3 linked regions of the Saccharomyces cerevisiae S288C genome follow. Changing the gene in region 3 together with the main gene of any one other region gives a genetic interaction. Each region holds a gene or a part of one and is shown on either strand. Other genes may lie near its edges.

Evidence for each region.
Region 1: mutations in GUP1 (region 3) and OPI3 together harm fitness more than expected from each alone (negative genetic interaction), as found in Saccharomyces cerevisiae (6 studies listed by BioGRID).
Region 2: mutations in GUP1 (region 3) and KRE1 together harm fitness more than expected from each alone (negative genetic interaction), as found in Saccharomyces cerevisiae (5 studies listed by BioGRID, with this or other methods).

Annotation. Positions count from the first base shown.
Region 1 is NC_001142.9:571,748-574,826, forward strand, and holds OPI3 (bifunctional phosphatidyl-N-methylethanolamine N-methyltransferase/phosphatidyl-N-dimethylethanolamine N-methyltransferase), read right to left. Parts: upstream 1,189-3,079; coding exon 568-1,188; downstream 1-567. Other genes in the region: GTPase NPA3, read right to left, coding at 1-377; Ran GTPase-binding protein MOG1, read left to right, coding at 1,348-2,004; HOC1 (alpha-1,6-mannosyltransferase), read left to right, coding at 2,234-3,079. UniProt on the Saccharomyces cerevisiae protein: Catalyzes the second two steps of the methylation pathway of phosphatidylcholine biosynthesis, the SAM-dependent methylation of phosphatidylmonomethylethanolamine (PMME) to phosphatidyldimethylethanolamine (PDME) and of PDME to phosphatidylcholine (PC).
Region 2 is NC_001146.8:32,727-35,922, forward strand, and holds KRE1 (Kre1p), read right to left. Parts: upstream 1,510-3,196; coding exon 568-1,509; downstream 1-567. Other genes in the region: LEM3 (Lem3p), read left to right, coding at 1-462; VNX1 (calcium/hydrogen antiporter), read left to right, coding at 1,970-3,196. UniProt on the Saccharomyces cerevisiae protein: Involved in a late stage of cell wall 1,6-beta-glucan synthesis and assembly.
Region 3 is NC_001139.9:350,049-353,847, forward strand, and holds GUP1 (O-acyltransferase), read right to left. Parts: upstream 2,251-3,799; coding exon 568-2,250; downstream 1-567. Other genes in the region: LCL3 (Lcl3p), read left to right, coding at 1-392; SCY1 (Scy1p), read left to right, coding at 3,010-3,799. UniProt on the Saccharomyces cerevisiae protein: Membrane-bound O-acyltransferase involved in the remodeling of glycosylphosphatidylinositol (GPI) anchors. Acts only on GPI-anchored proteins, but not on free GPI lipids.

The sequences.
Region 1 (3,079 bases), on a different chromosome or scaffold from region 3:
GATTCCGTGATAATGGCACCCGACGCACTCCACACAAAACATTCGATTTGGCCTGGAGTGTCGATGATGCAGTTTTGGAACTTGTCCTTCTTCTGTTCCACCAACCTAATAACTTGATCAATCTTGGTGCTGAACAAATTCAAACTGGTGACAATGGCACCGTTCGGACCTAGCTGGTAATTCTCCATCACTTTCTTGTATTTGATTGAGTCTCTGATATCGATGTTTGCACCATAGGGGACTCTCAATACTGCAGGATCAAGATTGATTACGTATGGTGGCGTTTTCTCTGCCCGCAAGTGGGAGTTTAACCTTTGCATGAAAGTTGTTTTACCGGATCCGGCCATACCAATACATATGATTGTGCTGAGACTCATTCTTGCTGTGTCGTTATTGCGTTTTGTAGTTGTTTGTGTGCGCTAGATGCTCTCATTGTATTCCTTGTTAAATAGAGCATCGCATTAAAATTTTTTTTTTTCACTTTCGCGAAGAAATTGCTTATGGAGCTATATAGAAACGGTAATAGCATAGGCTTCTAACATTATAGAATATATAGAAATAGAGCACTTACATATTCTTTTTGGCCTTATCACGGTTAGCGTAGATCATGGCAGTAAAAGGTTCTTCCCAACGAAGAGCGATCTTGTACATGAAGTAAACTACGGCAGAAACAACCAGCCCCGCAGGCTTTCCTTTGTAAAGGGCTATGCCCAAGAAGGACAAAGTGGAACCCTGGTACATGGGGTTGTTGGAAACGTTGAAGGGGAAGCCGGTGACTCTCTCATCCATCAGGATGCCGAAATAGTCACCCAAGTACGTCCCTGTGATACCCAGCTTGTACATGGAACTCAAAACAAGCACTTGCCCCAAACCAAAGAGAGCCACACCCAGCTTGGTCCAGTTCTCGCCCGTGATCAGAGAACACGTAGGCTGTTCACGCAATGCAGACTCGTACACCATGTCTCTGACGATACCTAGCGAAAATATGGTCGCCGCCAACATGTAACAGCCCTTTCTGGCCCCACCACACATCTTGGTGAGAGAATGCTTGTGGTATTCCATTCTTGCAACGATGTTCCAAAAGATAGGATTGAACATCGTGCACACAATGGCCAGCTGGAACTTGGAAGACTGTAAATCGACACTGTGGATGAGTTGCTGGATGATCTCTTGGACTGACTCCTTCATCGCTTGACTTGCGCTATTCTTGTTGTCTTCAATTGCTGTTTATGGCTCTGTCCAAGAACGTTCATGTTCTTCATATGTGTTCTCTTATAAAGACCCCTTATCCAGTGGTCATTGCAGTGGCAGTGGACAGAAACCAACGATGCATGTGTGGGTTTGCATATGAAGATTGAAAAGGCTTCTCATATTTCACAACCGGTGCAACTTTCCACATGCACTCTCATTGACACCTACCCTGGTCATCAAGGAAGCATGAACAACAAGGAAGTCGAATTATACGGCGGCGCCATCACTACTGTCGTCCCACCTGGGTTTATAGACGCTTCTACTCTAAGAGAAGTCCCCGATACACAGGAGGTGTACGTCAATTCCCGTCGCGATGAAGAAGAATTCGAAGATGGACTAGCCACCAATGAAAGCATTATCGTGGATCTCTTGGAGACGGTCGACAAGAGCGATCTGAAGGAGGCTTGGCAGTTCCACGTGGAAGACCTGACGGAGTTGAACGGGACCACCAAATGGGAAGCTTTACAAGAAGACACTGTTCAGCAAGGAACCAAGTTCACCGGACTCGTTATGGAAGTAGCAAATAAGTGGGGAAAACCAGATCTGGCACAGACCGTTGTCATCGGCGTAGCGTTGATCAGATTAACCCAGTTTGACACGGATGTGGTCATCTCCATTAATGTACCTTTGACAAAGGAGGAGGCGTCGCAAGCAAGCAACAAAGAGTTGCCTGCAAGATGTCATGCTGTTTACCAATTGTTGCAAGAAATGGTACGGAAGTTTCACGTTGTGGACACGTCGCTGTTTGCTTAATCTTTCAAATTTTAACCTTATGTTTATATTACCTTTTTATTTCTACTATATAGCGTATTACATGTTTTTTCCGATAAGTATAACGAAATTTCCCAGCAGCGAAGAAAGTGAAAAAATAACAGTGACCATAATGAACATTCCTCTCTTTCCATTTTGCACGTATTCTTGCAGAGAAGAGGCACTCTACTCGGAAGACAGCAGATAGATATATAGACTGTAGCGGTTAACGATGGCCAAAACAACAAAAAGAGCCTCCAGTTTCAGGAGGTTGATGATATTCGCCATAATAGCCCTCATCTCATTAGCATTTGGAGTTAGATACCTATTTCACAATTCTAATGCTACTGATTTACAAAAAATTCTGCAGAACTTGCCCAAAGAGATTTCCCAAAGCATTAATAGTGCCAACAATATTCAGAGTTCGGATTCTGATCTAGTTCAACATTTTGAGAGTTTGGCTCAGGAGATCAGACACCAACAGGAAGTTCAAGCAAAGCAATTTGATAAACAACGTAAGATCCTGGAAAAAAAAATCCAAGACTTGAAACAAACACCTCCGGAGGCCACCCTAAGAGAACGCATAGCTATGACTTTCCCCTACGATTCCCATGTCAAGTTCCCAGCATTTATTTGGCAAACTTGGTCCAATGATGAAGGTCCCGAGCGTGTTCAAGATATAAAGGGCATGTGGGAAAGCAAGAATCCGGGCTTTGCGCACGAAGTGTTGAACCATGACGTGATAAACGCACTAGTACACCACTACTTCTACTCCATACCGGAAATCCTAGAGACTTACGAAGCTCTGCCCTCCATCATCCTAAAGATAGATTTTTTCAAATACTTAATACTGTTAGTTCATGGAGGTGTTTATGCTGACATCGACACGTTCCCTGTTCAGCCAATTCCAAACTGGATTCCTGAAGAGTTGTCGCCATCCGACATTGGGTTGATAGTTGGAGTTGAGGAAGACGCTCAAAGAGCTGACTGGAGAACCAAGTATATCAGAAGACTTCAGTTTGGTACTTGGATTATACAAGCAAAACCTGGTCACCCTGTTTTGAGGGAAATCATTTCT
Region 2 (3,196 bases), on a different chromosome or scaffold from region 3:
AAAGGAATCAATTGGGAATCTGATAAAAAAAGGTACAAAAAAACCAAATACAATTATACACAGATAGCACCTCCACCATATTGGGAAAAGATGTATCCAGATGGATACAACGAGACGAATATTCCTGATATTCAGGATTGGGAAGAGTTCCAAAACTGGATGAGGCCAGGTGCTTTTGATAAAATTACAAAACTGATCAGAATCAATAAAAACGATACTTTGCCAGCGGGTGAATACCAGTTGGATATCGGTCTGCATTGGCCAGTATTGGAGTTTAATGGTAAGAAGGGAATCTACTTGACTCACGGTTCTCACCTTGGCGGTAGAAATCCATTTTTAGGTATAGTTTACCTGATTGGAGGCTGTATTTGTGCTGCCATGGCATTGATATTATTAACGTTTTGGCTCTTCGGCGGTAGAAAGATTGCTGATGCATCAAGTTTGTCATGGAATATGAAATAGAAAAGGAGTGATGGTTTTCTTTATTTTTAACCCTGTAAAATTTTTTTATTTTTTTATTTTTACTCTTATATATGTATATGTTTGTGTTTATTTCTGAATAAAAATTTATAAGAACCAAATTAAAACCGTTAATAGCCCACCCAAAATTGAAGTAAACGAACTCATACCTAGATGCTGGGCCTCATTATGCGAAACTGTTTTCTTTATTGCAGATTTAATAACGCCTACAGTACCGGTTAAAGTACCCATCCCAATAGACCCCACGGAGGGAGAAGCGACTGTTACGTACTGGGAGGAGAAACGCTGGACAAAAGTAGTTTGCACAGTGATAGTGTTGCCCTGTCTAACAACAGTGACCCACATGGACGTTGGCGCACGTGTGGTTGTGTAAGTGGAGGTTGTACCTTCAGTGATGGTAATGTATGAGTCAATAGATAGACTAGTGACAGCAGACACAGGAGGTTCTGTGAAGTCTGTGGAGGGGTCTGGCCTGGTGCCTGTTTCAGCTACTGCGCTCCCTGTCGATGTGGTCGTCTTTACACTGGAGGATGAACCAGACGAAGATACAGACGAGGACACAGACGAGGAGGCGGATGAAGTAGCACTGGTGCTAGAATGTGTGAACGTTTGAGTCAATGTAACTGTGGTACCCAAATCGTTTGTCGTGGTAACTGTAGATAAATACAGTCCCGAAGACAACGATGAAGTTGCGGTAGGAACAGTGGTGGTTGTCTTACCAGTAGATGAGGTAGAAGTCGTCGTGGTTGGTAGCATAGTGGCTCTGTTGACTGTCTGAGTAAGAGTGACGGTGGTTCCGACATCGTTAGTGGTAGTGAATACCGTAGTGAAGAAACCTGTTTGAGCGGTAGTTGTAGCAGCAGCAGCAGCGGTGGCAGGGTCCCATATTGTGGTCTCCGTAACCAGGGCCCCTGCGACATTTGTTACCACTGTAACCTGAGTTGTCACAGCTGCCATGACCGCAGCTGACCACAACGACAAAGAAAGTAGCAGCGTAGCGAATGAATGTAATAGCGTGCGACGCATCATTTTTTTTTTGATTGTCTTGCAGAAGTTGAAGAGGTCTTTACTGTAGCATATACAAGTGCTTAATTCTTGATTTTTATTTTCTTTTTTTCATAATACACGTTATAGAAAAAGCCCCATTCTCAGTTTATGAAAAAACGCGATATCACCATACACGCTGAGGTAGGGGGATACAAGGTGAAGAATGTACGCAATAAGGCGAAGTATATGGCACAATTGAGCAGTAAAAGTGTTAAAATATAGTGATATATATATATAAAATACGAGAGTACCAACTATTATGATCTTTTAATGCCCTCTTTCCGTTGAGATATTCATAATAGTAACCGTCACGGAACTGTCGCTTTATACGGTGAGGGGATTATTTAGTTCCTAATTTATATTAGATAAAGAAGATAATAAACATGAGGGATGCTGTAAATGAAAGTGAAATAACTGCTAGCTAGAAGAGCGGTAAGCAGCAATGGCCAAAAATAACCACATTTCTGCCAGTGGTAACAGTACCTCTGGAGACCATCGTCTTAAAGAGGAGGTTCTGACCCCAACTACATCTGCCTCGACTCCTCATAGAATATTTAGCGTGGACGATGATCCAAAGGAGATCCAAAACGATATCAGGTATCTTGAGGGTCTGCATGAAGGGTTGAAGTTCGCCCTGCATGCCAATAAATCCAAGCGATCTGTAAGCTCGCAATCACCAATCGTACATAGCAGCAACAACACGCTGCACCACCACGAGCACCAACAACACTTGCCGCCCACACTAGAGTCGCTATCCTCCAAGTCGCACTCTGTGCCAGACTTAAATACAGCTACTCCCAGCTCTCCGAAACGAATGCATTCATCTATCCGGGAATTACCTCATGATGACAATGATGACGAGGACGCCAATGATGACAGTCGGTTCATTATACACGACTCGCACGGCCATGATTTACTTATAGACGAGATCAATTGCCAGTCGCCTTCACACTTGGAAAACAATGACCAGGCGTCTAATGCTTCGTCCACAGAGTCATTCACTTTACGAGAAAGACAGGACGCCATCAACGAGACCCACCCCTTCGGTATCAGGATATGGAAGCCTGCTTTATATAAGAAACACCGTTCAGTTCAAAGAACCGCGGCGCAAGACATTCACGAGACTCAGTTGAAGACTATTACCTGGGAGGTGACTTGTTCCAATGTGCTATGGTTTATTTTGTTCGGTTTCCCCATTGCGATACTCTTCTACTCGGCGGCTATTGTGGTATTTTTACTAGGCGGCGGAGGACTGGTAACGAACTCTGCGAAGGAGTACTCCAAGTGTCTGTATAAACTCGCCAATTATTTCCTTTGGCCTTTTGGCAAAATGGTATACTTGTTGCAGGACGAGCAATATTTACAAGAAGATAAGGATGAAGGTATTAGTATGCAGCAATTCTACAATTGGGTGACTTCATACTCCAACAGGCTGGTCTTCCACCAGTCTCAGGCCAAGTTTCAGCAAAGAGAGGACCATCCGGCCCCTGCAACGGAATCTTCGTCTTTGATGCCGCCCGCTAACACAACAGCAACACCGCTTAACTCGAACCATCCATCATATAATTCTATTAGACACGAAATTCCGCACGCAGCGGCTCAAAGACGGTACTTTGGGAGAGGAAAATGGAGCTGGGGTCGTGTTCTTTTCTATACAATCTTCCATCTC
Region 3 (3,799 bases):
TGCCAACTATTCCTATAAGATTATGTGGAATCGATGCCCCAGAAAGAGCACATTTCGGTAACCCAGCTCAACCGTTTGGTAATGAAGCTTTAATTTGGTTACAAAACCGAATTTTGGGAAAGAAAGTATGGGTCAAGCCTTTATCTATAGATCAGTACAACCGTTGTGTAGCTCGAGTGTCATACTGGGACTGGTTTGGTGGGTGGAAAGACTTAAGCTTAGAAATGCTCAAGGATGGATTAGCGGTTGTTTATGAGGGTAAAGTAAACACAGAATTTGATGATAGAGAAGATAAGTATCGATATTATGAATTTTTGGCAAGATCTAGAAAAAAGGGACTGTGGATCCAGAATAAATTTGAAACGCCTGGTGAATATAAAAAACGTATTTGAGTTTTCGAGAGGATTTTTATCCATCATACTGCAGATTTTCATATTATATGTTCATTAGCTTTTCACGCTTCCTCTCGATATTTTTTTATTTATTTTCGGTTTCATTTTTGTACTAGTAGATAAAAATACATACATGATAGCAGTGTTATACAATTGATATTCGTAAATTTGGCATTCAGCATTTTAGGTAAATTCCGTGCCTCTTTTCTTCTTCTCTGATTTCAAACATTATTTGTACTGCGATGAATAAACTAACGCTTGCCAAAATTACAAATTTGAAACCAGATACGGTACAGAACATATCGCTTAGTAATTTTTTAGTACCGTCAGAGCCCAAGCAGAATCCAAAAAGATTAGCGATCATCATAACCCATATGTTGAAAACAGCACCGACAGCGCAAACGTGTCTGTACCAGACTGCGTCGGTATAATGAGAGAAAATTTGGGTAGCAAAAATTTCTGGTAAGAGGAACAAAACTATTAGCCAACCCCATAATAATAACTTTAGTTCGATGTCATGCCATATAGCTACGAAGGAAAAGACTGCTAGTGATGTCAAAACTCTATTTTTTGAACCACCTAGAGGAATATATATGTAACGGACAACCCACTTATTGTAGCTTCTATGCCAAGCTCTCCAGAATGCTAGTGAACTGTAATTGTTATCAACACACCTGATCATATTTTCAGGTGTATCGATTCCGTCTAGCAAAGCCCACAGCCTAAACAGCCTCCACGGAATCAGTAGTTTTAGCCAAATAATATTCAAATTAAATAAGCCAATCATGGAAATCTGGAAAGGTGTGTCATTTTCCCACGCTTTGGTTTTTGAGATTGCCACAACGTGGAGAAAGTGTAAAATGAACTCCATAGATAAGAGAGCAATAACGAATCTCACCGCATAGTAAAAAATGAATTTGAAATTTATTGATGGCAAGGTATGTTTCGATTGGTAAACATAATCATTGAATGTTATAATGGGGCCGGCAATGAAAAGTGGCGTGTAAGTAACATATGCAATATAATTCATTAAGCTGTAGTCCTGTATGGGGTGTGCAGCAGTTAATCTAGCACGTTCATTGAGCAAAATGGCTGATTTAGCTTCTTTTGATTCATAGGATGGACTTTTCTTCTTTTGTAAATTCTCCCACCTCTCTAAGAAGTCCAAGTTGTAACTTAAGACTCTCAAAAGAGTAAAATTGAAAAAGACATCCCATCTTGGAATGATACCTCTATACCAATGGTCCAATGGGCTTAAAAAAGAGCAAATATTACCAAATGGATATGCTCTGAAGTTGTCGTTAATAAAAAGCGTAGAAATACCATAAATCCAAATGCTGATGGTGGCTATTCTTCTAAAGTTCTTTAGTACATGGGCGATGGCATATAAAATTAGCATATGGGCTAAAATTCTTATCGAATTGACACCATGAGCGGCCACTAAAAAGATCAAACCAAATATCAGATCAAACCTCAATTTAGTGATATTTGTTGAATAAAGTACAATGCGTTTTATAGAAGTGTGGACTAGCATTAAAACTGACAATAGCGCAAAATTGTCCCTGAAAAACCTATATTGAGAATCACTATTGTCTACTTTTCTGCCAAATAACCAACCTTGAGATAGGAGACGTTCGTATCTTGCATAGTTTGGATTTTCGGGCGAACTAGCTTGTAACCCAGCATAGAACATCAAGGGAACCACGACCAGAAATGCAATGTAGTAGAATTTGAACTCAGTAGTTTTCCATAGTGATGGCTTAGTGGTAGTAGAGGCATCCTTTTTTGGTGAAGGTTTGATTCTTGAATCTAAGCCCTCGGAAGTAATTAGGGGAGACAGGATGCTGATCAGCGACATTTCTTGCAATTGTCTGTTAACAAATGCTGATTCACGCTTTGTTTTTGCCTTTGTATGATTAACATCTATATATCGAAAGCAATATGCTAAGTTATTATTCTTACCCTTTCAGTGTCCTTTTTGGCACACCCACTAAACATAAAGAGAAATACGTGAACACCTATACACCCTATATTATTTTGATTGTTCAACATTGCTTGATTCATCATCCATTCTCCAGCTCTCGAATCTTGTTTCTGGCTTTTCCAAGATTATGTGAAAATTAACTTACTCTTTTTGGTCGATAAATAATTACAAGTTCAAGTGCATGTCTAATTGGAAACTTATTTTTATGTCCGATTGAGCTGATGTTCAGCTAGTTTATGTTTATACAAGAAAAATGCTCACCCGTACATATGCTCCTTCTTCACTCATTTTCTTGTCCTGTTGTTGAGACATTCAACTTTGATCCTGCTCTTGTACTTTTATGATTCATTACTTATATATTGGTCTTCATTATTCTCGAGATGAAATTCTCAGGGTCTTTTAAAAAAAAAGTTTCAGTAGGAAAACTAAACGTAATTAAACTATTCTTCGGTTCGAACCTGAAGTTGCGTGAAAAAAAGGGTACTGCAGTCTTGAAAAAATAGAAGCCAAAAAGAAGTTAATATCAAAACAAATAAATCTTGCACATATTAAAGCGCACAAAAGTATTCAAAACAGTGTAACTTCGAATATCGTATCATTAAGGAAAATAGGACACACTTTGATTGAGCAGGGATGATGTTTTGGTCCTCAAAGACGGGTATCACGTCAAAATATTCATTTTCATCATCACCTACTTTCACAGCTGAACCATGGAGCATTTACACCGGTCGTCCCAAATCTTCATCTTCATCTTCACCTTCCAAAGTATCGATATTCATGTTTGACAAGAAGCAGTTCGAAAACTATTTGTTACACTATGGTATTATTAAATCCAAATCTGGATCCAGAGATAAAGTATTAATACAAGAAGCGTACGAAATATTAAGAAACCAGGCCAATAACTTGGCCAAGCTCAAGCACCCAAATATTCTGACTTTAATTGAACCATTAGAAGAACATAGCAAGAATTTCATGTTCGTCACCGAGTTTGTCACTAGCTCATTGGAGACCGTTTTCAGAGAAACCGATGATGAAGAGCAGAATTTCTTACAAGGTCATGTTAAAGATAATATCGTGGTACAGCGAGGTATATTGCAACTGGTAAATGCACTCGATTTTGTTCATAACCGCGCAAGCTTTGTACACTTGAACATTCAACCTAGGGCAATATTTATCAATGAAAATTCTGATTGGAAAATTTCCGGCTTAGGCTATTTAGTAAAAATACCACCAGGCACAAATACCTCTGAATACTTCTTACCTCAATATGATCCCAGAGTTCCCCCATTTATGCATTTACAATTGAATTATACGGCCCCAGAAATTGTTTTTGAGAATACCCTAACCTTTAAGAACGATTATTTTTCTTTAGGATTGTTGATATATTTTCTGTACACTGGTAAAGACTTGTTTCGCAGCGAAA